Stegostoma tigrinum: one gene and its partners. The main gene of each other region encodes a partner of the protein of the gene in region 3 in a complex. Links are inferred from orthologs where the notes say so. Each region holds a gene or a part of one and is shown on either strand. Other genes may lie near its edges.

Evidence for each region.
Region 1: lin9 (region 3) and rbl1 share a complex: the UniProt entries of both Homo sapiens proteins name them as parts of the DREAM complex. The link is inferred for Stegostoma tigrinum from reciprocal best matches to the Homo sapiens genes LIN9 and RBL1.
Region 2: lin9 (region 3) and e2f4 share a complex: the UniProt entries of both Homo sapiens proteins name them as parts of the DREAM complex. The link is inferred for Stegostoma tigrinum from reciprocal best matches to the Homo sapiens genes LIN9 and E2F4.
Region 4: lin9 (region 3) and mybl1 share a complex: the UniProt entries of both Homo sapiens proteins name them as parts of the DREAM complex. The link is inferred for Stegostoma tigrinum from reciprocal best matches to the Homo sapiens genes LIN9 and MYBL1.

The regions. Positions count from the first base shown.
Region 1 is NC_081372.1:1,760,573-1,768,559, reverse strand, and holds the start of rbl1 (retinoblastoma-like protein 1), read left to right. Parts: upstream 1-4,981; 5' UTR 4,982-5,102; coding exon 5,103-5,249; intron 5,250-7,888; coding exon 7,889-7,987. UniProt on the Homo sapiens protein: Key regulator of entry into cell division. Directly involved in heterochromatin formation by maintaining overall chromatin structure and, in particular, that of constitutive heterochromatin by stabilizing histone methylation.
Region 2 is NC_081369.1:8,294,369-8,301,728, reverse strand, and holds the start of e2f4 (transcription factor E2F4), read right to left. Parts: upstream 3,018-7,360; 5' UTR 2,939-3,017; coding exon 2,822-2,938; intron 1-2,821. UniProt on the Homo sapiens protein: Transcription activator that binds DNA cooperatively with DP proteins through the E2 recognition site, 5'-TTTC[CG]CGC-3' found in the promoter region of a number of genes whose products are involved in cell cycle regulation or in DNA replication.
Region 3 is NC_081357.1:10,405,985-10,413,334, forward strand, and holds the start of lin9 (protein lin-9 homolog), read left to right. Parts: upstream 1-4,329; 5' UTR 4,330-4,365; coding exon 4,366-4,396; intron 4,397-7,350. UniProt on the Homo sapiens protein: Acts as a tumor suppressor. Inhibits DNA synthesis. Its ability to inhibit oncogenic transformation is mediated through its association with RB1. Plays a role in the expression of genes required for the G1/S transition.
Region 4 is NC_081358.1:31,539,389-31,546,505, reverse strand, and holds the start of mybl1 (myb-related protein A), read right to left. Parts: upstream 3,012-7,117; 5' UTR 2,678-3,011; coding exon 2,658-2,677; intron 1-2,657. UniProt on the Homo sapiens protein: Transcription factor that specifically recognizes the sequence 5'-YAAC[GT]G-3'.

The DNA of each region.
Region 1 (7,987 bases), on a different chromosome or scaffold from region 3:
TATTTACACTTTGAGTCTTGGTGACACACGGGTGTTCTATCTACCAAATGCTAACTGTGAAGTGGCAATGGATTTGTTTATCCAACACCCCTACGTTTTGATTTCTGACAGTGATTTCTGTTTTCATTTCTCCTCTTCTGGACCACTAAAGTAGTTTTCCATCCCACATGGTGGAAGAGGCGTTGCTTCACCAGTGAATGCTAAGGGGGTCCTGCAGATCGTACGGGCGAGTAACAGCATCATGATGTAGTTTGTTTACGATCAGATATTCCATTTAGTACTTTTCTTTCCCCCCCACCCCAGTAAAGCATTTCCAGTAGCCTGGCTTTAGGTACAAACTGTTCGGTGATGATTCAAGCACTGTGTTTTATTAACTTTTGTTTCCACTGTTGTTTCCATTGTGTCGGAAACAGAATAAAATTTAACTATCAATAAAAAATGGAAGTTGGTAAATTTTATATTTTAGATGTCTTAATTTCTGAATAATAGTTTAGCGTATTCTGTCTGTGTTGTACAGCAGGTCTCAAGACCACACCGTTCCAGTTGTCAGCAATGGGTGCTTAGTTGCCTAATAGGCAAAAGACTATCTCCAGACTCTCAGACTGGAACTTCAGTTTTCATGATGGCTACCAGCTATAGTTAAGAAAAAGCTTTGTCTGATATCAGCCAAAGTTAACACATTGAGAATGTTAAGTGTAAAATCTTTTTTCTGGTGTGGTTTGGGGAAGGGATGACCTTAATATTACTCATCTTGCCATATAGTGTGTGTTTGATGGTCCTAGTTGGTTTGCACTCTTGAACAAGGCTCTGGCCTGCGTTATTACTGCCCTGTCAGTTACATAACAAGAGCTCACTAACAGGAAGGGGAATTGAACAATAATATTACTATGACAGTTGCTCTATAGCTTAACTCGAGATGCTTGCATTACAGTTCTGTCAGTGAATGATTTTCACATCTACCAAGCAATATTTTTTCCCTAATTAGTCGAGGACACAAGTTGGAGCTGGCTTCCAAAATCAGGAGCAGCATAGACTTTAGATTTGAACAGTTCATAATGCAAGGCTTCTGTGGCAAAAAAAAGGCCTCTTTCTACTGTGCTTTCCCCTGTCTACACTAATGGCAGCCCGGCACGGATTCCCTCTGCTCTCAATCATTTCATCCTGGTTCCTATTCTTAAAACAAAGCCTTAGAGGAAGTGACGTTGTTTTCAAATTTAGTCAATGTTGCAATGCTGCGTATTGGATACCTCATTTATTTTGTATCAATATCCCCAACCTACTGATATAATTGCTCTTGTATCTAAATACTGTACCTGACTTGTCGAAAGCCTCAATAAAAAGTTAACAACCCGGCATAGAGCGGTGTTGATGTCTGAGGTCATGCAAGAGTTTCCGTCTCATTTGCTTAATGGAAGAATCTGCTATTGGGGTGGGTTTTTCTTTTTTAAAAAAGAAAATTTGCTTGAGACGTGTTTAGTTTCTTTCAGTTTTGCTTTTAAAAGGAACTAGCATTAATTTGTGGTCCAGTTCTTCCCTTGGACATGCAGCTTCAGCTGTATCTGACAGAACAATTGGAATTCAGCCTTCTGACCTCCTTCAGACTTTGATCAGTAATGGAAAGTAATGTAAGGATTTTAGGAAACAGATTATCCAATAAAGAGGATCTATTGTTTAGCATAAATAATTATTATTTTCACCTCCATCAGAGGAAGTGTCTGTTATTGCTGTATTGTACAGTCTGGAAGATAAGAATTCACAAACTTGTGTGACATACCAGAAGAGAGAATCCTCATTTAGTTTCCCTTTAGTGCTTTGTGTTGGGAGTATTTGTGCAAATCTACCTGAGCAAGACACTTGGTTGAAAATGTTCAGAATAAAATCTACCTTGCATTGTAAAATGTTGCGTAGTCCCCAACATCTTGATTGATGACTCACTTTAATAAGCAAGACAGACCTTTATCAATGTGATTACATCTTTGCCCCAAAATGGTTGTCAGTTTTATCAAATGCCTTTGCAGAATTTACGTAATGTTGGGGTGTGACTTCATTTAAATTGGGATAGGAGGAGACCATTTAATCTCTTGAGACCTTACACTGCCACACAATTATATCATTGCCATAAACTATCTCAACATTACACACCTTTGTTCCTTATCTCCTGATCCCTTTAACTAACAAAAATCTATTGTTCTCAGTCAACATTGAATTGTGATTGGGAACAATCAACACAACATTTATAGCCTGGAGAAAATGGTCCAGAGTTCTGCTACTCTATGTAGTAAAAGTCCTTCTTAATTTCATCCTTAACTGATTTAGCATTCGTTGTAACATTGATGTTTTATTCGGGATTCCAGTCAAGGGAAATTTCTTTTTCGGGGCTATTAAACACATTAATTTTTTTCTACTCAGTACTTTGCACTCCATTGACTTAATATTGATTGTAAATGCTGGACTTTAGCTATAACTAAGCTTCTCTGTGACAGTGATGACAGTGGAGTTTGGATAATGATTTCAAAGAGGGACAGCAGAGCATGGAATGGGGAATCAAAAGGAAATCCGAGTGCATCCTTGGCGTCGGTTTACCTTTTTGATTTACAGACTACTGGTCAATGGGGGCCTTTTCTGGATGGATGGACTTTATGCCGTGCTATCTATTTTCCCCCACTGCTGTACGTTGACAATGTTGGAATTCAGCATTCTGATCTCTCTCTCTCTTTTCCATTGCTGAAAAGCAATAATTTGGAGAAACAAACAATGCTGGAGACACACAGCAAGTCTGGCAGCATCTTAGGAGAACTTCTCTTTTCAATGTGCTTTGGACAACCACATCAGACTATGAGTAAATTAGCACCCAGTGGTGTGTTCACAAGATCCACCAAATCAAGAGGCAAGGAAGGCAGTCCAACAGCAGCACCCTCCCCCAACAATGTGGCCAGCAATTATTCCTGGCAGAATCATAGAACAAAAGAACTGTCAACGCTGGAGATTGAAAACAAAAACAAACTGCTGGAGAAGCTCAGCAGGTCTGGCTCCATCTATGGAAGCAAATAGACACAATGTTTGATATCCAGTGACCCTTCCACAAACCAGTTGCTGTGGGCAGGATCTCATTTGTTGATCTGATAGACTCCCAAAGCAGCTGCTCTGGTCTGAACTTAGTTTTTACAGGGGTCTGCCGGGAGGGCAGTGGAAGTGGTTTTGTTGAGGTGCTTGAAGCATTCCTGTCAATTCGTGCAATCCCTGGATCGGTTTTGACTGAAGTGGGGAAGAATCATTTCAAAATGCACAAATGCATTAAGGGATTTGCTTGAGAACATGTAGAATTGGTGACAGCACACAAACTCCCAAACAACCATCTAAGCAACTCTTCAAATAGCACCTGCTCTCCCTGTGTTAGAATCTGCTGATCCTTCCAGAACCCATTGAACAGGAGTAGGAGCAAATCATTCCCAGTAGTATTGCATATAATTCAGCTGTTCTTTCTTGAGAAATCCATTCTGCAATTTGACCATTTCTGAGAGGGTGGGCAAGATGGCAAAAGGTCAAGTTGAAATTGGTTCAAATGCTGAGGCTGGGGAAAGAAAGTGAAACAGGTAAAAATGGGGGGGGGGGGAGAAAGTGAAACGGGTAAAATGGGGAGGGAGAGAAAGTGAAACGGGTAAAAAGGGGGGGGGAGAGAAAGTGAAACGGGTAAAAATGGGGGGGAGAAAGTGAAACGGGTAAAAAGGGCGGGGGGAGAAAGTGAAACGGGTAAAAATGGGGGGGGAGAAAGTGAAACGGGTAAAAAGGGCGGGGGAGAGAAAGTGAAACGGGTAAAAAGGGGGGGGAGAGAAAGTGAAACGGGTAAAAATGGGGGGGAGAAAGTGAAACGGGTAAAAAGGGGGGGGAAAGAAAGTGAAACGGGTAAAAAGGGGGGGGAGAGAAAGTGAAACGGGTAAAAATGGGGGGGAGAAAGTGAAACGGGTAAAAAGGGCGGGGGGAGAAAGTGAAACGGGTAAAAATGGGGGGGAGAAAGTGAAACGGGTAAAAAGGGCGGGGGGAGAAAGTGAAACGGGTAAAAAGGGGGGGGGAGAGAAAGTGAAACGGGTAAAAATGGGGGGGAGAAAGTGAAACGGGTAAAAAGGGGGGGGAGAGAAAGTGAAACGGGTAAAAATGGGGGGGAGAAAGTGAAACGGGTAAAAAGGGCGGGGGGAGAAAGTGAAACGGGTAAAAATGGGGGGGGAGAAAGTGAAACGGGTAAAAAGGGCGGGGGAGAGAAAGTGAAACGGGTAAAAATGGGGGGGAGAAAGTGAAACGGGTAAAAATGGGGGGGGAGAGAAAGTGAAACGGGTAAAAATGGGGGGGAGAAAGTGAAACGGGTAAAAAGGGCGGGGGGAGAAAGTGAAACGGGTAAAAATGGGGGGGGAGAGAAAGTGAAACGGGTAAAAAGGGGGGGGAGAAAGTGAAACGGGTAAAAATGGGGGGGGAGAGAAAGTGAAACGGGTAAAAAGGGGGGGGAGAAAGTGAAACGGGTAAAAATGGGGGGGAGAAAGTGAAACGGGTAAAAAGGGCGGGGGGAGAAAGTGAAACGGGTAAAAATGGGGGGGGAGAAAGTGAAACGGGTAAAAAGGGCGGGGGGAGAGAAAGTGAAACGGGTAAAAAGGGCGGGGGAGAGAAAGTGAAACGGGTAAAAAGGGCGGGGGGAGAGAAAGTGAAACGGGTAAAAAGGGGGGGAGTTAGTGAAGGTGATGCCGGAGGCGGGGGGGGCGCGGTGAGTGAGCGAAGGTGATGCCGGTGGGGTGGGGGTAGGGGGGTGGAGGTCTCAGGTACTTTCTGGCTGGGCGGCGGAGTATGGGTGACGTTAGGTTCCGAGTGCTCCGCGGTGATCCGGCTGTGCGAGCTACTCTTTCCGGGCTATTTATAGAATGGGCGTGGTGACCTGGTCGAGCATGCGCGGGTTTTTGGCGCCACTGCCGCGGTGTACTGTGGGATTAGTGTCCGAGTGGAGCCGGGGCAGTCGCGGTGGGAGAGAGTGACTGAGTCGGAGGGACGGAGTCAGAGCGAACCGGCAGGGATACGGGAAGCGACAGACAGGTACTGAGCCGGGAGGGAGAGCCAGCACCATGCCCAGCGGAGAGAGCCGGGACGGCGGCAGGCGGTCACTGCGTGACAGCTTCGACAAACTGTGTCAGGACCTGAACATGGATCTGGAGAGCGGGGCCGAGGCTTGGGAGAACCTGCAGCGGATCCGCCTCAACTACACTCTGGAGGTGAGGGTGGCTGGGAGTAGGGGTCGTCGCAGAGCCTCCCCAACCCCGGTCTATCTCAACTACAGCGTTGGAGTTGAGACCATAAGATATAGGAGCAGAATTAGTCTATTCAGCCTATCAAGTGGAGATTTACTGGGATGCTGCCTGGATTTGGTGGGGTGTGGTGGGGCAGCTCTTATGAGGAAAGGTTGGGGGAGCCTGGGCTTTTTTCATTGCAGTGAAGGATGAGAGGTGGCTTGATAGAGGTGTACAAGATGATCAGAGTGCATAGTCAGACTTTTTCCCAGGGCGGAAATGACTGTTACGAGGGGGACATAATTTTAAGGTGATTGGAGGGGGGCATAGGGGAGATGTCAGAGGTAGGTTCTTTATACAGAGAGTGGTGAGTGTGTGGAATGCGCTGCCAGCAATGGTAATAGAGTCAGATATTTTAGAGCCTTTTGGACAGGCATGTGGAGGGTAGTAAACTGTAGTGGAAGCAGGATAGATTGATCTTAGGATAATAGATCAGCACAACATTGTGAGTCAAAGCCTGTATTGTACTGTTCTATGTTCTATATGTTAGTCTGTGCCCCCATTTGATCACAGTTGATGTGTTGCTCAAACCCATCATCCTGCCTTCTCCCTGTAACCCCTGATCCCCTCACGAATCAATTGCTGTCTTAAATACAGTCAACCATTTGGCTTCCTCAGCCTGCTGCGGCAGTGAGTACTTTGGCAGGAAGCATACAGGCATTGACTGCTTTCTAAATGGGGAAAGGCTTTGGAATTGAGGGAATGTATCTCATTGAGACTTAAAGAATACTGAGACGCCTGAATAGATTGGACATGAAGATGATGCTCCTACCTGTAGGAGAGACTTGGTCCCAAGAGCACAAACTCAGAGTGAAGGGACCATCCTTTAGAATGGAAGAGGACTTCCTTCAGCCAGAGGATAGTTAATTTGTGGAACTCATAGCTGTTCTTGATTGGCAATAGGAACAAGGATGGGGGAGAGAGGGCAGGAGATCGAGGAACATATCTGCCATGATCAAGTGGCAGAGCAGATTTGATGTGCTGAAGAGCTTAATGCTGCTCCTATCTAGAGTGGTCTAAAGTGTGAACCTCATTTGTGTGGAATTTAAGTTTTTAAACTGAGAATTTAAATTTCTCTTGATTATTAATGCAGTACCACTACCACATTCAATAAATAGAACAGTTGAAAACACAGTTTGTGGTTAACTAGTATATTGCTGATCATTTCTGTGATATATGATGTCTTTTTGATGAGTGCGGAAGTGATGTGTGTAGTGGTTGGTTTTAAAACACACCAGCTGCATTTCTGTGTTGTGGAATTTGCTTTATGTTTGTACTTGTCTCTAACTTGGTCACTCTGCAAGTTTCACTTGTTTCCTTCCAATAATTAAGATTATTGCTAAGGAAAAATAGTTGCAATATAAACATCTGTAACAGAAGAAATAGATTGAGTCATTAAATGCATTTTTCAATTTAGAGTTAAACTCACTTTCAATTTATAATTTCACTGATATTTTGTGCTGTAAATTGGATTGATTCTATTTGTGCCTGCCCATTTGCTACAAAATCAAAGCTAAAGAACATTTCACTCAATAGTCATGCCTGCATGAATGTCCTAATTATCAATTCTATGTTGATATTGCACCTGGGGAACTATTGTATGTTAACCCAGGTGAAGTTGCAGTGAAACAGTGGAATAGTTCATGGAGTTTGAGGATTATTTCAGTGATTTCAAATTCATTTTGTGGAGATCAGGACTTTGGTGTGAGCATATGTTATGTACTATGTACACTTCTGGTCTCCAAATCTAAGCTCACGTATATCTATTTAGTGCAACAAAGATTTACTCGATTGGATCCTGGAATATGAGGATTCCCTTGTGTGGGGCCATGAAAAATGAGGAGAAATCTCATTAATGATAAGTGTGGAGCTGGGTGAACACATCTCCTAAGTGCTCCTAAGATGCTGCTTGGCCTGAGGTGTTCATCCAGCTCCACACTTATCTTGGATTCTCCAGCATCTGCAGTTCCTATTATCTCTGAGAAATCTCATTAAAGCTTTTTAAAATCACTGCATGTGTTATGAAGCGGAAATTGATGCCCCCCCCCTGCCAAAAATCTGTTAAAAGAAGTATGAAAAGTGTTATAACCAGCTGGTCATCCCCAATCTGTTGTAAAGGAGTGGTTAAATAAAATGGAATCTTTTCACTTACTCAATCAACAAAATGTAACAATTTACTTATCTAACTTTAACAGTGAACAAATTAGCAAAACTACTAACAAACAAACAATTCCCCCTTAACTATTAACTACTCCTGAATAAAACAAAACTCTTCAGTAAGGTGATGTCACCTCACCTCAGCCAACGAAGGAGCAGCACTCCAAAAGCTTGTGATTTCAAATAAATCTGAACTATACCCTGGTGTCATGTGACTTCTGACTGAATATGTTCAAGGGTGAGAGATCTTTTGACGTTTCAGAACCTAGCAATATGGAGAGCAAGTGGGAATGTGGAGTTGAACTGAAAGGTTAGTCACGCCCATACTGAGTGATACACCAGTCTGGACAGACTAGTCTGATTGTGTTCCTATTTTTAATGGACTCGTTTCTTAATGCTTGTTTCAGGGAGAAACTCTGCACTGGCTTGCATGTGCCTTGTATGTAGCCTGTCGCAAAAGTATCACGCCAACTGTTGGCAAGGGGACAATGGAAGGAAACGGTGTG
Region 2 (7,360 bases), on a different chromosome or scaffold from region 3:
GATAACACAGACAGGCTGTCACTAACAACAGCTTTGTTTTAGAATGATTGTAACACCAGAGACACAGGCAGGAAGAGGGAGGTGGGGGTGGGAACTGGGGCTATATATTGACAGATTCTCCAAACTGTGGACCAAACCTTCAAAGTCTCCACCCACCCCAGCCTCCAGGAATGACTGACAGGGGAATTCCCCAATCAGCTAGACTAGCTGCGAGCAATGTTCTCCCTCGATGTAGCCTTGCCGTTTTGTCCCTCACCGAGAGTGGAGAATCCTTTCGCATACTGCAGTGACCTGTTCCTAAAACCTGGGTGACATGCACTCTAATGGGACGGTATGAGATGGCTTATTGAACTGTGGGAGGAATCACGGCACAACGAGACGCTGACAGAGTCAGTAGTGGAAAGCCTCGGGATCCGAGTATCACAGTGCCACACTGGCAGGTGCTGCAGCCGGCAGGCTGACAGCAGCAACCGAAGGTCTGACCAACCACTGAACAGCTGAAACCACAAACCCATGACCAAAACCCAGGCCCAAGGAGAGGACACATGGTGACGGATAGCACTGGACTGGCTCAGTCACAGTTTCTTTAACTAAGTGGCCAAAGGTCAAGATCAATCATGAATCCAGCAGCAGCCTAAATCAAGAAGGACTTAAATAGGTTCACATCTTCTCCAAGATAGCAGCAATGGGAACTTTCTGATGCCAATGGGGTACTTCTCCCACCGTTTTCCTGAGCTCCACCCGAGATCTCAATCTGAAGCCGCACCCACCCTCTGCAATGTTAACACAAGGGAACAACTGTTATCTGTTAGCCCAGACTGATGGCAAGCTATTCGACAGTGTGAGCAGCATTTTAGAATTGCATGTCTTAATTAGATCTCTTCCATGTATCCCTTTCCCTCACAGGACACCCAGAGCGGTGACTGAAGCAAATACTTTAGGGCTGTCCTAACTGAGATGCAGTGGCTCAGCGCAGGATTAAACCCCTGACCTTTGGTTAACTGTGTGTGGCACTCAACAATGCACCTAGCTACTGAACCAGAGTGACCATGTGTGCTGTTGAACAGATTCCAGCATTGTCTCGGACTTTGCCAAACAGTGCTGCAAAACAAAGCTTTACCTGTGCGACTGCAGGAACAGTTATTACCCAGCGAATTTCAACAGTGACTCAGTGTGAATGGTCCCCGTAGCCACAGCAATGAATTCAGCAATAGGACACCTGCACACTTGATAGGGCTCCTCGGTCCTCTAGTACAATGTCATATAAAAGACAATATTCACCCTTACTGCCAATAATGAGAGAGAGGGGGAGACACCCGCACACACACAGTGGCAGAGAGGGACAGAGGGCTGTTGGGGGAGGGAGAACAGAGGTTGGGGGGGAAACAAATAAGTTCAGAGGTTGGGGGGGGTTAAAGGAAGGAGGGCTCAGGCAGAGGGGGGTGGCTGAGTGTGAACCGGGAGGGTGGCGGTGTTGAGGGACAGCAGGGGGTGGGGAACTGGGAGGTGGTGGTGGTGACATTGAGGGAGAGGTGGGGGGGCGTCAGAAGGAAATGTCAGGGGGTTGTCAAAGGGAAATGTGGGGGGGGTGGTCAGTGGAGAATGTGGTCAGTGAGAGGGGTGGTCAGTGGAGGAGGTGGGCGGCTTGGTCAGTGGGAAACATGGGGGGGGGGAGGTCAGAGGGGAATGTGAGGGGAGTGTGGTCAGTTGGGGAGGTGATCAGTGGGGACTGTGGCAGGGGAGTGGTCAGGGGGAATGTGGGGGGTGTAGTCAGTGGGGGAGGGAGAATGGTGAGTGGGAAATATGGCAGGGGACTGTGGCAAGGGAGTGGTCAGTTGGGGGGGTGGTCAGGGTGAATGTGGCAGGGGGTGGTCAGTGGGGAATGTGGGAGGCGGAATGGTCAGTGGGGGGGTGATCAGTGGGGAATGGTCAGTGGTGGGGCGGTCGGTAGGGAATGTGGCAGCGGGGTGATCAGTGGGGAATGTGGAATCGGAGTGGTCAGTGGGGGGTGGTCGGTAGGGAATGTGGCAGGGGAGTGGTCAGTGGGGAAGTTGGCAGCGGAGTGGTCAGTGGGGAAGGTGGCAGGGGAGTGGTCAGTGGAGGGTGGTCAGTGGGGAAGGTGGCAGGGGAGTGGTCAGTGGGGAAGGTGGCAGGGGAGTGGTCAGTGGGGGTGTGGTCAGTGGGGAAGGTGGCAGGGGAGTGGTCAGTGGGGAGCAGTCAGTGGGGAAGGTGGCAGAGGAGGGGTCAGTGGGGGGGTGGTCAGTGGGGAAGGTGGCGGGGAGGGGTCAGTGGGGAATGTGGCAGGGGAGTGGTCAGTGGGGAATGTGGCGGGGAGGGGTCAGTGGGGGGGTGGTCAGTGGGGAAGGTGGCAGGGGAGGGGTCAGTGGGGAATGTGGCGGGGAGGGGTCAGTGGGGGGGTGGTCAGTGGGGAATGTAGGGGGGTGGGGTAGCTGAGTAGGACGATACCAATGTGAATGATGGTGGGGGGTGGAAGCGGACGCGCTGCACCGGGAGGTTGAGCACGTGCTCTCCCGCAAACCCCCCTCCCCCCCGACCCCCAACCAAGGCCGCGCGGTGTCTCCGGTTTCGGAGGGGGGGGGGGGTTGTTCGGTGTCCAGCTGCCCCTCCCCTTTTAACACCCCCCCCCCGAAAAAAAATCGCTCCTCATTCCTCTCCCAGAGCCGGCGGAGTGTGTGTGTGTGTGTGTGTGCCGGCCTTTCGGTGCTCCTTACCCCCCCGGGGGGGGGGGGTGAATCCAACCCCACCCCCAGGGGCCGTGTACCCGCCCCCCCCCCCCGGATTAAACCCCCGCTCCCCTCACCACTTTCAGGTCGAGCACCCCGTCCTTGGCCTCCTGCAGCAGGGACACGAACTTGGTGGTGAGGAGTCCCAGGCTCTTCTCATGCCTGCTCGGAGTCTGCGGTAAGGCCTCGGCCATCTTCACCAACACACTCACTTTATTTCCTCACTCACTCACTCCCTCCCTCCCTCTATCCTTCTCTCTGTCTCTCTCGGTCGGTAGCCGTTAGCAGCGCGCAGCACGCCGGGACTGATTTGAACTGGGAGCAAACAGCAACACCCCCCCCCCCCGCCCCAACAAACAACCTCAAACCGGGCCCCGGCCAGGGACCGTCCTCAAACCTCCACCCTCTCCGCAAAGCGCAGACAGCCCCGGCCAGGGACCGTCCTCAAACCTCCACCCTCTCCGCAAAGCGCAGACAGCCCCGGCCAGGGACCGTCCTCAAACCTCCACCCTCTCCGCAAAGCGCAGACAGCCCCGGCCAGGGACCGTCCTCAAACCTCCACCCTCTCCGCAAAGCGCAGACAGCCCCGGCCAGGGACCGTCCTCAAACCTCCACCCTCTCCGCAAAGCGCAGACAGTCTCTTTCCCCCTCCCCCCCCCCCCCAATTCCAGGTCCCATCCAGGGAGCATCCTCAAACTGCCACCCTCTCTGCAAGCTGTCAACTGTCCCAGATCCCAGCAAGGGAGCGTCCTCAAACCCCACCCGTCCCCGCAAAGAGCAAACTGGCCCCCCCACCAGGGAGTGCCCCTAAACTGCCTCCCTCTGCGCAAAGCTCGAACAGCATGCCCCAGCCAGGGAGCATCCTCAAACAGTTGCCATCAAATGCAGTGGGCAAACAGCACCGACCACACCAAGGGACTGTTCTCAAATTGCCTCTCTCCCGGCAAAGTGCAAACAGGAGTACCAGTGAAGGAGTATCATCAAAACACCACACTTCCAGCAAAGCACAAACTGTGGCTCTCAGGCAGCATCTGCAAACTGCCACTTTGCCCACATGTCACAAAACCACCCAAGGAACATCTGCAAATCACTGAAATATCAAGAAATGCAAAACTTCCTGCTGCCTACCTCGGGGACCGTGTATTAAAAACATGCTCCCCAGAAACCACAAACCTGCCTGCCTTAGGAAGTGCCTTTAAACCCACACTCCTTCTGCAACCCTCCCATACCCTCCATAAAGTTTGGAACATTGGGGTGGGGTTAGGAAGCCATCTTCAACATCCAAGTTTGAAGGCTGTGAAATATTGATATGAAATAGGAATTGAGACCTGAGGTTTATCAGTCCTGATCTCATTGAAAGGCAGGGTAAGCTTGTGGTGCCAAATGTCTTCCTCCTGCTCCTTTTCCTTGTTTTTGAACAACAATGTTCCGAATGAAAGAAGATTTCGGCTCAGCTGCCCAAACCCCTCCACCAATCTCCCTCCAAGGTCTTCTGCCAACCACCTTCATTCCACATTTGTCATGTTTTGGGGAGGTGGTGGCTTCATTCTATCGTCACTGGTAATCCAAAGACCTGTGTTAAAGCATTGTGAAGCGTGGGTTCAAGTCTCATGTCAGATGGTGAATTTTTAGTTCTGTGACTAAATCAAAAACTAGTCTAATAGTAATTATGAAACCACTAGCAATTGTCATCAAAAACCATCAGGTCCTAAAATGGCCTTAAAAAATGAAAATCTGCCACTAGTATGACCTGAATGCCATTCGAACTTTGCTTGTAGCCATAGTAGCCTCTCAATTGTATCAAACTGCTACAAAGCCTAAAAGAAAGGAATAAAAACAAAAGCATTGACCAAGCGTCGGAAACAATAATAATACCCACAGCCCTGTTGTCCCGAAAAAGTCCTCCTTATTAACAGATCTAGCAACTTAAAACTGCAAATGAAGTGCTATCAATCATCATCAGCTGAACTGTATTTAACCAGAATCTGTTATCTAATGGCCCAGTGTGTCCCCCACTGTACTATTGCCAAACAACTCCATAATCAAACCTGGTTCAATGAGGAGTACAGGTGGACATGTCTAGAACCAGTACCAGGCATACCTCAAAATGATATGTTAACCTGGTCAAACTACAACACAGGACAACTTGCAGGCTAAACAGCAATAGAGAGAGCTAAGGATCCCACAACCCAATGAATCATAGCTAAATGTTGCAGTCCTACCCTATGCAGTCATGAGCAACATGGACAATTAAACAACTGAAAAGAGAAGGATCCACAAATTGTCTGTGATGGAGGTGCCTTCCACGTTAAATCAAAAGACAAGATAGAATTACTGTCAACCATGTTTAGCCAGAAGACCTGAGTGGATGATCCATCTCAGCCTCCTCCTGAAATCCTGAATATTACAGATTCCAGGCTTTAGTCAGTGCACTCCATGCGGTATCAAGGTACAGTTGGAGATGTTGGACACTGTGAAGATCATGGACCTTGACAATATTCCAGCAATGTTACCACAGACTTGCTCTGCTATGTTCCTAAACATGCTGCCCTTGTACAGTTACAACATTGGCATCGTCCCAATAATGTGGAAAATTGCCTGTGCCTGTCCTGTGCACAAAAGCACAGGACAATCCTACCTGGCCAATTACCACCTCAGCAAACTGTTGGAAGCTTCTGTCTGTCATGTTATTAAGTGACACTTAAGTCAACGATAACCTGCCACTACCAACATCCTTGTGGTTACCATTGATGAGAAGCTGAACTGGACTAGCTGTAGAAATGGAAAAAGAACTGCAGATGCTGGAGTCGGAGCGAATACAGTGTGGAGCTGGAGGAACACAGCAGGTCAGGCAGCATCAGAGGAACAGGAAAGATCCTGATGAAGGGTGTAAACCCAAAATGCCGACTTTCCTGCTCATCTGATGCTGCCTGACTTGCTGCGTTCCTTCAGCTCCACATGTATTGACTAACAGTAGAATTGCTATGTCAACAAGAAGTGGTCAGAGACTAGGAATTCTGTGGCCGCTAACTCAGATCTCAGATACTGTCTCCCTCTACAAGGCACAAGTCAGGAGTGTGATGGAATACTCTGTGCTTGATTGGATGCGAACAGCTCCAATAAAACTGAAGAAGCTTAACACCATCCAGGATAAAGTGGCCCGCTTGATTGGCACTCCATCTAACACCTCCAATATTCACTCCTTCCATCATCAATGCACAATGGCAGCAAGTGCACAAGATGCACTGGAAATATTCTCTAAGGCTCCGTTAATAGCTCCTTCCTGACCTTCCACCTCAGAGGTCAAGGCGAGCAGAAACATCAGGCCCCAAAATGACTTTCTCTCTCAAATGTGGATGTTCACTGTTTGATGCACAATGATCAATTCCATTCACAACTCCATGGACATGAAGCAGTCTGTGCCTGCGTGCATCAAAGTATGCTGAACAATTAGAAACCAGACAACCGTCCAATTGGTGAGAGCTTTACTTTCAGTTTAAAAGAGTAGATGGAGCATTACTCACTATGTGCTGTGCCTGTCCAAGAAGCATTTGATGAAGACAGTGTTAAGAGACATTAACTTTCTGTTTTAAAAAAGTAGAGTAAGCTTTACTCTATATTGAACTCTATGCTGTACTTGCTTTGGAATGTTTGATGAGGACAGTGTAGACAAAGCTTTACTCTGCTGCTAGTCCCTATGCTGTCCCTATCCTGGGAGAGTTTAATGGAGACAGTGTAGAAAGACCTTTATTTTCAGCTTTCTTTCCATTTAAAAGATTTGAAGGAACTTTACTCACTGTCAAACTCTGCGTTGAACTTGACCTGGGAGTTTTTGATGAGGACAACGTGGAGAGAACTATACTTCCAGTTTAAAAGAGTAGAGGAGCTTTACAGTGTTGGCAAAGATCTGTAGCTCGGGTTGTGGGTGGGGTTATTGACTTGCTCACCGAGCTGGCTTGTTCTCATTCAGACGTTTCGTCATCATGCTTGGTGACATCATCAGTGAGGCCTCTGGGGAAGTGATGTTGTTCTACTCCACTTGGAATTTATACTGTCCGGTCCATTGTGGTGAGTACTGTCATTTCCAGGTTTGATCTGTATGGGCTTGTATATGGGGTCCAACTCTATATGTTTGTTGATTGAAGTATGGGTGGAGAACCGTGCCTCTAGGAATTCCCATGCATGTCTATGTTTGGCTTGGGCTACTACGGTTACATTGTCCCAATTAAACTGATGGCCTTCACTGTCTGAGGGTACTGATATGAAGGAAAGTTCATCATGTCATTTTGCTGCCAGCTGACCTTAACCTATTCTGATGGCTTTGCAACGCTGCACAGTACCTGTCCTGGAAGTGTTTGATGGGGAAAAAGAACAACTGTGCAAGGTAGTAGCCATCTCCAACACCAACGAGTCCAACCACTCCATCATAATTTTCAACAGTATCATGATCACTGGATTATCTTCTATTGCCATTCTGGAGAGGTGGGGGAGTTTGGTCGATGTTTATTGACCAGAAACTAAGCTGGACCAGCCTTATAAACATAGAGGCCACAACAGCAATTGAGGCAAGAAATACCCTCCTGACTCTCCAAACCCATCTTGGAACTACGATGTTG
Region 3 (7,350 bases):
TGCTGATGATACTGCCATGGGAGGATGGATAACTAACAATGATGAGTCAGAAAACAGAAAGGAGATAGGGGGCTTGGTGCAATGATAACAAGCTCTTTCTCAGTGTTGGAAAAACAAAAGAATTATCACTGACTTCAAGAAGAAAGGAGGAGGACACACCCCTATCCATCAATGAATCGGGTTGAAAGGCTCAAATCCTTGGGAGTGATGATAACCGCAACTTTCCCCCCACAGTGGTCGAGAACGCCCTTGACCGCGTCTCCCGCATTTCCCGCAACACATCCCTCACGCCCCGCCCCCGCCACAACCGCCCTAAGAGGATCCCCCTCGTTCTCACACACCACCCTACCAACCTCTGGATACAACGCATCATGCTCCGACACTTTCGCCATTTACAATCCGACCCCACCACCCAAGACATTTTTCCATCCCCACCCCTGTTTACTTTCCGGAGAGACCACTCTCTCCGTGACTCCCTTGTTCGCTCCACACTGCCCTCCAACCCCACCACACCCGGCACCTTCCCCTGCAACCGCAGGAAATGCTACACTTGTCCCCACACCTCCTCCCTCACCCCCATCCCAGGCCCCAAGATGACTTTCCACATTAAGCAGAGGTTCACCTGCACATCTGCCAATGTGGTATACTGCATCCACTGTACCCGGTGTGGCTTCCTCTACATTGGGGAAACCAAGCGGAGGCTTGGGGACCGCTTTGCAGAACACCTCCGCTCGGTTTGCAATAAACAACTGCACCTCCCAGTCGCGAACCATTTCAACTCCCCCTCCCATTCTTTAGATGACATGTCCATCATGGGCCTCCTGCAGTGCCACAATGATGCCACCCGAAGTTTGCAGGAGCAGCAACTCATATTCCGCTTGGGAACCCTGCAGCCCAATGGTATCAATGTGGACTTCACCAGCTTCAATATCTCCTCTTCCCCCACCGCATCCCAAAACCAGCCCAGTTCGTCCCCTCCCCCCAGTGCATCCCAAAACCAGCCCAGCTTGACCCCTCCCCCCACTGCATCCCAAAACCAGCCCAGCCTGTCTCTGCCTCCCTAACCTGTTCTTCCTCTCACCCATCCCTTCCTCCCACCCCAAACTGCACCTCCATTTCCTACCTCCTTGACCTGTCCGTCTTCCCTGGACTGACCTATGCCCTCCTTACCTCCCCACCTATACTCTCCTCTCCACCTATCTTCTTTTCTCTCCAGCTTCGGTCCGCCTCCCCCTCTCTCCCTATTTATTCCAGAACCCTCACCCCATCCCCCTCTCTGATGGAGGGTCTCAGCCCGAAACATCAGCTTTTGTGCTCCTAAGATGCTGCTTGGCCTGCTGTGTTCATCCAGCTTCACACGTTATTACCTTGGATTCTCCAGCATCTGCAGTCCCATTATCTCTCCCATCCAAGGACTCCATTTATACTTCTCGTTGCCACGGAAAGGCTGCCAACATCATCAAAGACCCCACCCGCCCTGCTAATGTTCTCTTCCATCAGGCAGAAGGCACAGAAGCTTGACCACATTCACCAACAGGTTCAATAACAGCTTCTTCCCTGCCATTAATAGACTGCTGAATGAGCTGTAACATCAAATAATGTTGATCTTGCTTTATGACCTCCTGTGCAGCTGTAACCTTGTATGCCTCGCTCTGTCTAAGCACCGTACGATCTGTATGTCCTGGTTTGCTATAATCAGCCTGTACTCCTTGCAAAACAAAGCTTTTCACTGTAGTTAGGTACATGTGACAACAATAAATCAAATCAGTTGGCACATTCTCTTCCTTAGATGTATCTTTCTTAGGCATGCTCAACAATGTTGGCATATTTCAGTGACTACAAACTGTGAAAGGTGCATTCCTGCCTTGTTCAATGGTTCTAAGCACTGATCTCTTGCACATGCAATCTTGTGCTTCAGTATCCAAACAGCAGTACAGAATCCAGGGATAGTAGGAACTGCTGATGCTGGAGTCTGAGATAACAAGGTGTAGAACTGGATGAACCCAGCAGGCCAGGCAGCATCCTCTTTTTTTTGAAGAATGGTCCAGACCCAAAACATCAGCTTTCCTGCGCCTCTAATGCTGCCTGGCTTGCTGTGTTCATCCAGCTCCACACTGTGTTATCTTAGCACAGAATCCAGCCTTGTTTAATGGGCAAATGATGCACAACTTTCAGACAAGCATGTTAAACTGAGGCATCTGTGCCTGAAATGAATTTACAGGATCCTACAGTGTTCTTTGGAAGAATAGGGGAGTCCTCTGTGAGAGATAGTAGGAACTGCAGATGCTAGAGTCAGGACAAAAAGGTGTTGAGCTGGATGAACTCAGCAGGCCAGGCAGCATCATAGGAGCAGGAAAGCTGACATTTTGGGTCTGGAATAACAAAGTGTGGAGCTGGATGAACACAGCAGGCCAAGCAGCATCTTAGGAGCACAAAAGTTGACGTTTCGGGCCTAGACCCTTCATCAGAAAAGGGGGAGGGGGAGAGAGTCCTGCACAAAAGCTGACGTTTCGGGACCCTTCAGAAATTGAGGAGGGGAAGGGGGCTATGAAATAAATAGGCAGGGGGCCGGTGATAAAAGGTTGATAACGGAGTGGATAGGCGGGAGAGAAGACGGACAGGTCAGGGAAGCGGAGATGAAGCTAGTAAAGGGGAGTGTAGGTAGGAAGTGGGGGTGGGGATTATCAGTGAGGCGGGAGGAGCAGATAGGTGGGAGAGAAGACGGACAGGTCAATGAGGCGGGGATGAGAGGGGGGAGCTGGTCTTGGGATGAGGTCGGGGCTGGAGAGATTTTTAAGTTAGTAAAGCCCACTAAGACTATTGGGATGTAGGATTCCAAGGCAGAATATGAGGCACTGTTCCTCCAGTTTCTGGATGGCATCATTGTGACACTGGAGGAGCCCAGGATGGGCGTGTTGTCCAGGGAGTGGGAGGGGTAGTTGAAGTGGTTCGCGACTGGGAGGTGTTGTTTGTCGCAAACCGAATGTAGGTGCTCCACAAAGCGGTCTCTGAGCCTCTCTTGGTGTCCCTGACGTAGGGGAGGCCACAGCAGATACAACATACCATATTAACAGATGTGCAGGTAAACATCTATTTAATGTGGAAGGTTAAACTCTGTGTTTTCCTGGCTATCATTTGTTCATTAACTCAGGACAGGTGGATAAGGCTGAGAGGGCATGTGTGATATTTACCTCTGTTAGTCAAGGTATTGGAAGAGGAGAGCAAGGGAGGTTATATTGAAGCTGTATATTGTGTTAGTTAGGCCACAGCTGAAATACAGCATGCAGCTCTGGTCACTAAACTATAGGAAGGACGTGACTGCACCAGAGGGGCTGCACAGGAGATTCACCAGGATGTTCCCTGAGTTAGAATTCAGCTGTGAAGAGAGAATAAATAAGCTAGGGTTGTGACAATGTATTCAAAACAGAAATTGCTGGAAAAGCTCAGCAGGTACTTGTTTTTTTGCAGGTTTTGGGGCAACACAGTCATTAACATTGCAGCCTTACAGCACCAAGGGCCTGGGTTCAATTCCACCTGTTTGTGTGGAGTTTGCATCGTTCTCCCTGTGTCTGTGTGGGTTTCCTCCCACAGTTCAAAGATGTGCGCGGGTTTAGGTGGAACTGGCCATGGGAAATTGCCATGCTGTGGTGTTCAGGTTAGGTGGATGCTAGTGTGGACTTGTTGAGCCAAAGGGCTTGTTTGCACACTTGTAGGGATTCTACTTGAAACATAACCAAGCCAGTTAACAAAGTGTGGAGCTGGATGAACACAGCAGGCCAAGCAGCATCTCAGGAGCACAAAAAGCTGACGTTTCGGGCCTAGACCCTTCATCAGAGAGGGTTATGCCCTGAGGGAGGAGGGTAACTTCTTCAGGTTAGGCATCCCTGGAAGAGGCTTCGCAGTGAGTTTGGCCCGCTGTGTTCATCCAGCTTCACACTTTGTTATCTTGGATTCTCCAGTTCCCATTACCTCTGGCAACCAAGCAAGTGCCTCCTCCTGGATTCACTTCGATCATTCCTCCAACCCCAGAATATCCTGCTCAAGGTGACCCACGTACTCCATACAGTCGGTGAGGCTAACTTTTATAGAGACCCCCCCCCCCCCCCCCCATATAACTAATCACCGCCCTACTGCAAGACGTTGATGAAGTAGGAGGAGGGGGTGGGGGGGCGCTGGGACTCGAACCCACGCCTTCGCTCTCCTCGCCAGCCCGCTCCCAGCTTGCCGACCCAGGGGGCGATCCCGCGACGCCACACGCGCCCCGGCGGCTCTGCCGGCGCCTCTTCGCGAAGGTTTGTTTCTGCCGCCCTGCATCGCCCAGAATGCCGCGCGGCTCGCTTTGAAAAGCGGCGCGGCCGATTCAAGATGGCGGAGGTGGAGGAGCTGCCGGATGAGAGTGAGTCCGGGGCGGGGGTGGGGGAAGGAAGGAAATCCGGGAGGGGGAGGGAGACAGACTCCCCGAGGGGTCGGGACGCCCTGACAGCCAGCAGCCTCCTCGTCCAACGACCCCCCCCCCCTTCTCCTCCCCTCCATCCAGCCCACCTCCGGGAGCCCAGGTCGTGTCCCTGCCCGGCGGGTGGGGGAACGCGGAGTCTGCCTGATGAGGGCCGAGGATCCGACACTGACTGACAGGCCGGGGCCGGAGCTCGGGGCCCGGGCACCGGCGGATCCCGGGTCCGCACGGGGCGGCCTCCTCCGCCGCAGACTGCCGGGACAGGGTGCTTGGGGCGTGGGGCGGATCCGGATCACCTCACCCCACCCCCACCCCCACCCCTACCTGGAGCTGCCTGTGGATGTGGGCGGCTGTCACACTCGGACTGTTTCCCCCCCCCGTTACCTGGGGCTATCCGCCCAGGACAGGCCCTCCTCCTCCTCTGACTCTGAGTGAGGGGCTGAGTGGGGAGACGGATTCCCGGCTAGAAAAGATAAATCACAGCTGGAGAGGGGTGTGTGTCTGTGTCGCGGGGGTAGCTGTGGTGGCTGTCCGCTTTAACGCGATTCCCACTGTTCGAGGGAAAGTTGTGATACTGTTTATTTAAATTTGAAACTGGATGTAGATGCTGTGGGGTTTTTTTTGTTTGATGTGTTTTTTTTTGTATGTAATGGATTTGAAGGCCGCCTGACAAATGTGACTCTATGCTGTGATCCGTTCTGTTTTGCGAGAAGACTTGAGGTTGCAGTGTGTTTGCATCAAAGACGTTGTTGGGGGCGGGCCCCCCCTGTTTTGTCTTGGTCATTGGAGGTTTCCTGGATAGTGCTGAAAAAGTGGCGGGGTGGGTATGAGTGCTCGAAGTATATGTGAGGGGCTGAATAGCCTAAGCCTGTTGCTGTAAAAGATGTGGGATACTGTGTAGCGTATTCGATGCACTTCTGGCTGGCTCATCATCCAAAAGTCTGTAAGCAATGATTCTGATGAGATCCTGTTCCTGGGTCATCTTTACTGACCTAAACTGGCTCCAAATTACATTTCTGGAATTCTCGCTCCATGTTTGCAGATCTACTCGATGGTCTCAACCCTTAGTATCTTTGTAATTGCTTTCAGCCTCTCAATCCTCTGTAATCTGTACTCTAATTTTGGCCTTATTAGTTCTTTCCATATTCCTTCATTCTCAGGCCCTACATTCTGCAATTTCCTCACCACAAACTTCGCTTTACTCCTTTAAAACACTTCTGAGAAAAAAAACTACTTGGATCAAGCTTTTGATCACCTGCCCCAAGATTGCCTTGGTTTGGTATTAGATTTTGTTGCTTCACTCCTGCGCAACAGCTTGCAATGTTTTACAATGTTTACAGCACTCTATAGGTACAAGTTGCTGCTGAAGGTTTTTAATCTGTGGTCTGACACTGTCTTGTTTGGAGAAGTGGAGGACATAAAGTATCTTTAGAGGTTATCAAACTTCTTTATTTGCTGTTTGTTCCCTTGTGGCAAGTGCCTTAGCCATTTTTCATGTTCAAAGTGTGTAAATTTTGATGCATTTTCCAGTTGATTATTTCTGCAAGTGTGAAACAAGACTTATGTTGCTGAGTTTGGATTGAGGTCCATGTGAATATTTTTTAATGGGAGTGATGGGTTACAGGTTCATCTACTCAGTGTAGAGGAGCAGAATAGTTTTTAGTGAGAGGGGATGTTTACAGTTTATCATTTTAGATAAATTTTGCCATTAAAAACTTGCTTACTGAATGTTTTTGATCGCTGCTTTACCTATGACAGTTTTGTGAACTGTGCAAGTGCTTGCAACTCTTAACAGATTGCTTCTTCAGAATGTTTCAGCATGGTAGTGTATTTGTGAATTACCATTGTATCCCTAAAACATAGTCATAGATTTCAAGGAACTGGATGGTAGTCAGGCTTTTCCTCAAGTCAGACTTTTGACAAAACTGCGCTACTGCTTGGAAAGGAATTGCTACATCTTTGAAGAAGGAGAAATTTGAAGGGCTCTGGGGAAGACTTGGGGAGTACTGTTTATTGGCTAGCTCCTTTGAACTGATATAAGCAGGATGACCAGGATGTTGTTCTGTGCTGTATTGTGACTCTTCATTCCCTTCCCCGATTATACCTTCTGACCAGAAGAAGGAAACTATTATGGTGAGTTTCCATTTTAACCTAGGACTTCCCTAGTTTGTGGCCTAGGATCTGTTGCTAATGGGGTCATTTAATGATGTTGGTACAATTGGGTGGGCCTAATCTGTGTCCCCATGGTGGTCATTGCCAGATGTTAGCCAAGCCTCCTGAGAAGTATGTCATTGTATAACAGTAAAGTTCTATGTGACTAACATCTTTAGTAACATTTTTGGGCCTGTCCAACGTGTTGATAGTGATGCATGCAAGAACATCTAGTTTGGTGTCTGTAAGATGCCGGAATACTCATTGCTACGCATTACCAGTGACAGATCTGCAGCCATCGGTATGACTTTGCCCCCCAGGTTATAATGTTCACCGTGCTGTCTGCAGAGAGCCAGCTGAGTTTGGATTTTTTGGATTTGCATGAATATGTATTGTACAAATCTCTCACGCCTATTATAAAATTTTAGTGAGATCACTTCTGCTTGACTTGCATTCATTTAATTAAACCAAACCATAATTAATTCTACAATGTGGCCATCCATAGATAAATAAACTGCGCCATAGTTATTATACTGCAATGAACCCCTCAGTATACTTAAAAACCCAAGGTCTGCGAGTAACTTAAACTGTTATCTTATCTTGCGCCTATTCATAACATCACAAGATCACACAAGTTAGTACTATTGGATCAAGCCAAATCTTCTGTTTATCCATCCATAAGAAAACCTGCAGGTCATCTCCTCCTCTTTCCCTCACTATTGGTTTTAAATATGCTTTGGATTTCA
Region 4 (7,117 bases), on a different chromosome or scaffold from region 3:
ACGTGGGAGGATCTGGTGGACTCTTTTGGGAGTAGACTGCTGAAGAATTGAGAACTGGCCCAGGTAAAATAGAATGCCAATGATATTGGTAGACAAAGCAATAAATGAGCCTGAAGTGGTCTCTGATGCAGAAAAGGTTGAACACAAGTCAAGGCAAAGTGTTACGAAGGAAAATTTTGGTCAAATGATAGGAGAAAGTAAAATGAAGCAGTGAATGATTCTGTATGATCAACATCAGTTCAAAATACAAATGAGGTCTAAACTAAATACAAAAATTTCAGCCAAGTGTGAGAAAATGGCAGAAGGAGTATAAGAGATTTGCAGTTAACCTAAGAAGGTAGCAAGAGGAGTGGCAGAACTCAGACATACTCATGGAGACAGAAAACATTGTTGAGTTATTTAATGACTTAGCGTCTATCTTCACCAAGGAAGATGTTGTGCAAGCCACAATGAAAGAGGAAGTTGAGAGACTTAAAGGCTAAAAATTTATAAAAGTATTAACTAAAGCAAAGTGTGGATTTACCAAGGGTGAATCATATTTAATTAATACAAATGCATTAAAAACTGCAAAGGCCTGAAAGATCATCATTAGGCAGCATGTGTGAAGAAAAACCGAATTACCGTCTGGCTGAGTACTTTTATCTTGTGTTTGAATTTCATGTTATTTAAGAAAACAACTTGAATTAAATTAGTTAAAAGTAACAGAACGTTTGAGGGTAACATGTTTAAAAGTCGTGTACACAGGCTTCTAAAAGATATTTGATAAAATGTCACATAACAGGTTTGCTAATAAAGTTGAATCCATAGGTAGTGGATACAAAGCTGGTTGAAAGACTGGAAACAGTTGTGGCGAATGGTTGATACAGGGTTCCCCAGAAGCCAGTGCTATGAACTTAATTTTCCTTAATCTATGTTAATGATAGATTTGTGTGGATGGCACAATTTCAAAAATTTAGATCAGAAAAAAAACTCGGAAGTTGTGCGAACTGAGGAACAGAGCAATCACTTCAAGGAGGTCAAAGCAGGTTGATGGGAGTGGGTAGATTAAATTTAATACAAACTGAAACTTACATTCTGTTAGAAAATTCAAGAAAAGGCAAGGAAAACAAACAAAGGCACAACTCTAAAGGAGTGCAAGAGGAAAGAGACCTAGGGTGTGTGTGTGTGTGTGTGTGCATGCATTGTGCAGAGTGGCTGGGACTGATTGAGAAAGCAATTAACACATCCTTCATTTATAAATAGAAGTAGAGTAAAAATTCAATGTAGTGATGATAAACCTCGTCGTTTATCCTCAACTGTAATTTTGTCTCCAAGAAGGGTGTGAAAGCTTCAGAGTGACAACAGAAAACATTGGTAAGATTAGTTCTAGGGATGAGGGGCTTCAGTTAAGAGAAAAGGCTACTGTCCTTAGAGAAGTTTAAGAGAAGTATTTGACAGAGGTGTTCAAAATCATCAGGGATCTAGACAGCATGGACAGGAAGAAGTTACAGTGCTACGTAAGAGTCAGAGGACACCAAGTTAAGGTGCATGATAAAACAAACAGTGCAAGGAAAAACAATTTTTCCAAACAACAACTGAGTGACTAAGATCCAGCATACACTGCCTAAGTGTGGGGTGGTGGCAAATTCAATCATGGCTTTCAAAAGAGAATTAGATAAGTAGCCAAAGTCTTTTTTTAAAAGAAAAGTTAGCTTGCAGAAAAAGATCAAGGGGAATGAGATTAGGTAAACTGCTCTTGTAGACAGACAGCTCAGGCAATAGGCTGAATGGTTCCAGTGTGGCAGGAAGCCATTCTACAAATCTGCTTGATAAACTCGTCATTTCAAATAAAATTATTCACCAGAATACCGAGTACCAAGAACGTATCAGGATAAACTAACTTATTTCCAGCTTACATGAAATGGACTTGATTTCTGTCATTTATTACATGGAAGAATAGGCAAGAAAACTTCAATCCATTTAGCTGGTACTCATTAAAACTATCCTGAAAATCCTATTTAACGCTTTCAAGATAAACAGTGGAATCCTCGTGAGATTCAGGGACAGAAAAACTCTGTATTCCTCTCTCCTCGTATTCCAACCCAACAGAAAAAAACAGAACCTGGGTAATGTTACTACATTGATTTATTCATGGTTAATCTAGGCCTACAATCAATTTGACAACTAAAGACGGCGGTGATTTGAACCGAATCCTAGCAATTGCTATTGGCCAACTACTGCCAATTGTACTCTTGGCCAGGTTCTGTGATCAGTTTTACAGCGATGTTGCACGCCCAGCTATGATGTGGCGTGTTATACCTCCAAAAACACAGGAATGACAACTCAACAGGTTGAAATTTGTCACGTTATACCTGATGCACTGTGCATATTCAACTTTGAACTTTAGCAGCTCCCTAATAAATTTACCTAGATGGACGTAAACATACGCAAACTGCCTTTTGCAAAACTAATCATAACATGACAATGATCCATGGGCGCTTCATTTAGTTTTGTTTTGATAATACATTTGTATAAGAATAGATGCAAACATCACAGGTCCCGTGTAACTCGCTGCAGGCAGCTGACAGCCAGTACAACTTCAAAAATAAAAAAAAAGACAGCTCAATGTTCCACGCTAGTAGTCCTGATGAGCGAAAAGCCACCCGCAGAGCACTCACCTCCGGGCTCGCTTGGCCATCACTGACAGGGACGATTGTCTCCCTTTTCTGCCTTTCCCAGGACTCCTCAATCACTCACTCCGCTCGGGGACTCCGGGATGGTTAGTCTCCGATCATTAATACATGGGCTGAAGGTCGCTGTTGGCTGCCTGAGTACCAGCGGTGGGGTCACCATATCCCCAAGCAGCCCGAAGAGAGAAAGAGTGTATTTGTGTGTTTCTCTCTATATATATATATATATATGTGTATGTATGTACGTGGCTATAGGGGAGCTCAGCTCTCCACTGCTGCCTCTCAGCCACTCTCACTGCTCCGTTTCTATATCCCGCCAAATCTCGCGCCCTGCCTTCCCTCTCAAACACTCCCCGACAATATTTGAATGTGCGCACGCGTCCTGACCGTTCATAGGGCCCTCCGTGCGAGGGGGGCGGCGCGAGCGGCAGCGCGGGCACGTGACAGGCACACTGGAAATTGTAGTCCACATCGAAGCCCGTGCGCCTTGACGGCGAACTTCGACTGCATGCGCACTTGACAGGCACTCTGGGAATTGTAGTCTATATGGAAGCCGTGCGCCTTGAGAACCAACATCGAGTGCGCCATCTTGTGTGGGTCCCAAACACCGCCGCTGCTGTTGGCAGGCGATGGGCAAGTCTGTCATTGATGAGTGCCTGTTGCAAAAAAACCTAACCATAATGTGACAGTTTATTTCAATTAAGTCCTTTTTTTTGTTAAAACATACGTAACAAGAATAGCCAGGTCGGTGTAGTAGTATCATAGAATCCCTGCAGTGTGAAAGCAGGCGACTCGGCCTGTCGAGTCCGCACCGACTGTCTCGAGATCCAACCCAGACCCACACCTGTCTTTCCCGTAGACACTGAGGGCAATTTAGCACGGCCAATTTGCCTAACCTGCACGTCTTTGGACTGTGGTAGGAAACCCACGCAGGCACGGGGAAAATGTGCAAATTCCACACCGTCACACCCGACGTTGGTATCGAACCCAGGTCTCTGGCAGCAGGGCTTACCCCTGAGCCACTGTCACACCTAGTGTCCCTACTTCTGAGACAGCAGGCCCGGGTTCAAGTGCCACCTGAGCCCAAAGTGGGTTATAACATTTCTGAACGGTAAAGATCAAAAAATATCGAAAGGAATAGATGTAAACATCGTACTCAGCCGGTCTGTTGCGAGAGAAACAGCGTTAATGTTTCAAGTCCAATGACCCATTCGTCAGATGAAGTTTCTCTAGCGATTTCTGCTTTTGTTTCAGATTTCTATCATCTGCAGTTCTTAGTTTTATCGTCGTAGTTTCAGCATATCTCACAACGTGTATGTTTGTAATAAACCTTTACTCGAGTTACAAACCGCAAATTATAGAATATGGTCCCATCTTGGAATGAATGTATTTTCTCCCCCTAACCAGCAACATCATTAGACTCTTAATTCCAGACTTCTTATTAAATTCAGTGCCACCGCTTGCCATGGGAGGATTTGACCATGGGTTCCCAGAGCATCACCTGTATCTCTGGATTAGTCCAGGGATAATTTGGCTGGGCCATCACCTCCCCACACTTTAAAAAGGCCCTTGCTCTCAAAGTTCTCACTGAGAGGTTACAACGTTTGAGACTTCGAAATGGTGTCAGAGCGAGAAAAAAATCTGAGGAGTGGTGTTTGTGTTATTGCTATCTTTATGTTGTACCTTTCTGTTTCTTCTGCTTATGTTCCTGGAATAAGTAGACAAGGGTTTAACTTATTAAAAAAACTTGCATTTATAGGTAACGCAGTGTAGAGTAGGAGGAACACAGCAGGCCAGGCAGCATCAGAGGACATGGGGCTAGTGTTTAGATTCCTACAGGGTGGAAACAGTCCCTTCGGCCCAACAAGTCCACACTGCCCCTTGCAGCATCCCACCCAGACCCATCCCTCTATAACCCACACACCCCTGAACACTATGGGCAATTTAGCATGGCTGATCCACCTAGCCTGCACATCTTTGGACTGTGGGAGGAAGCTGGAGCACCTGGAGAAAACCCACACAGACACAGGGAGAATGTGCAAACTCCACACAGACAGTCGCCTGAGGGTGGAATCGAACCCGGGTCCCTGGCGCTGTGAGGCTGCAGTGCTAACCACTGAGCCACCGTGCCGCCCTAGTGGGGAGTGTGGAGCAGACGAGGGAGTCATGGAGAGACCGGTCCCTATGCAAGGCAGATAGTGGTGGGGAGAGAAATATATCTTTGGTTGTGGGGTCGGATTGCAGGTAGCAGAAATGACAGAGAATGATACGTTGAATATGGTTAGTGGAGTGATAGAATCCCACTTGTTCTCATATATCTTTGTTTTTGTTGCAGAAAGGGATGTGAGGGCAGAGGTGCGGGAAATGCAAGAGATGTGGGTCAAGTGCATTTTTGACCACCAAAGTTGGGTGGGACAGGATGTTGCGGTCCTTGAAATAAGAGGACATCTGGGATGTTTGGTAGTGGAACCCCCCCCATCTTGGGAGCAGATGCACCAGAGGTAGAGGAATTGGGAGTAGGGGATCCCATTCTTGCAAAAAGGTGGGTAAAAGGAGCTATAGTCTAGGTAGCTGTGGGAGTCACTGGGCTTGAAATAAATGTTGGTTTTGAGGCGGTTACCAGACATAGAGATATCAATATCCAGGATGGAGAGAGAGGTATCAGAGATAGTCCAGGTGAACTTGAAGTTGGGGAGAAAGGGGTTAGTAAAGTTGAGGAACTGTTCAAGCTGTCTCAGTGACTCCCTCTTCTGCTCCACATTCCCCACTAGCCCCACCACCCCTAGCACCTTTCCCTGCAACTGCAGGAAGTGCTACACCTGCCCCCACACCTACCCCCTCACCTCCATCCAAGGCACCAGACAAACCTTTCACATCAGACAGAGGTTCACCTGCATATCTGTCAATGTGGATTATTGTATCTGCTGCTTCTGATGTGGCGTCTTCTACATCGGTGAGACCAAGTGGAGGCTCGGAGACCGCTTTATAGAGAACCTGCATTCTGTTCGCGACAGACGACAACACCTTCTCGTGATGAACCATTTCAGCTCCCCCTCCCTGGGCGACATGTCCATCCTGGGCCTCCTCCAGTATCACAATGACACCGCCTGGAAACTGAAGGAGCAGCACCTCATATTCCATCTTGGGAGCCTACAACCCAATGGTCTCACCGTGGACTTTACTGGTTTCAAAATTTCCCCACCCCGGCCTTATCCCATGACTAAGCCTCTCTCTTATCCCCGCCTCCTTGATCTGACACAATCTGTCCATCTCCTGTCCCACATATCCGCTCTTCCCACCTCACTGACCAATCCCCACCACTGCTTACCTGTGCTCACCTATCACCATTCCACCTACCTTCCCCTGCTCACCCCTCCTCTTCCATTTCTTAAGGGTCCTGTCCCAAACGTGAATTTTCCTGCTCCTGTATGCTGCCTGGCCTGTTGTGTTCCTCCAGCTCCACACTGTATTATCTGACTCCAGCATCAGCAGTTTTTACTGTCTCTGACTGGCATTTATATCAGTTTTTTCACTGACCCTAAGAGGCCCCAATGCAATTTACAGAAAGCAAGGTATTAAGTACAGTTACTTATGTAATGATTTTGCATTAAATATCAGCCTGAATTATTTTTAGATTTAAATACCCCTGCAGACTCATTATGAAACAGGAGCTTTACTGGAACACATCTTACTGTTCTGTTTTACGTCTTCCACAAACTTGTACGATCACCATATGACATCACATCACTTTCAGACATAGATTAGTACTAATCTATTAACAGTCCATTAAAATTCACACCGCCTCCATCTTCTCAAAATCTCTAATGGTGATTTCTGGATTGTGAAAAGCAACAATCCACAACCTTGAACTCTGGTATATTCAGTTCTTAAATGTTGTTTTCTCCTCATGTCCTTTCTCCATTCCTCTTTTAAAGACCACAATGGTTGTCCCCATATGAGTCTATGTCAAAGGGTCCTTGTCTCCTCTGAAGGGAACAGAAACATTGAAGATAGCAGGAGGCAGCCCTTCAGCCCTTTGCTCCTGCTCTGCCATTGTTCATGTTATGCTGATTGTCCAACTCAAAAGCCTAACCCTACTTTCTCCCCACAACCTTTGATCTATTTTGCCTCAAGTGCTATATCTAGGCACATTTTGAATACGTTCAGTGTTTTGGCATCAACTACTTCCTGGGGTTATTAAATCCACAGGCTCACCACTTTTCCGGTGAAGAAATCAGGGCTTTGAGTCCAGCACATTGTCTCTTAGACTTTCCTAGGCAGGAGGGAATTGATAGCTGACTTTGACTTGCAATGCACATTTTCAACTGATTTGATGAATGGATGCAGTTTCTCTGATTTATTAAATTGGGTAGATGACTGCGTCCACAGGCTACATGGCAACCAGTGCAAGCCTGTTCCATCTTACCTCATTACACAGCCTATTATTT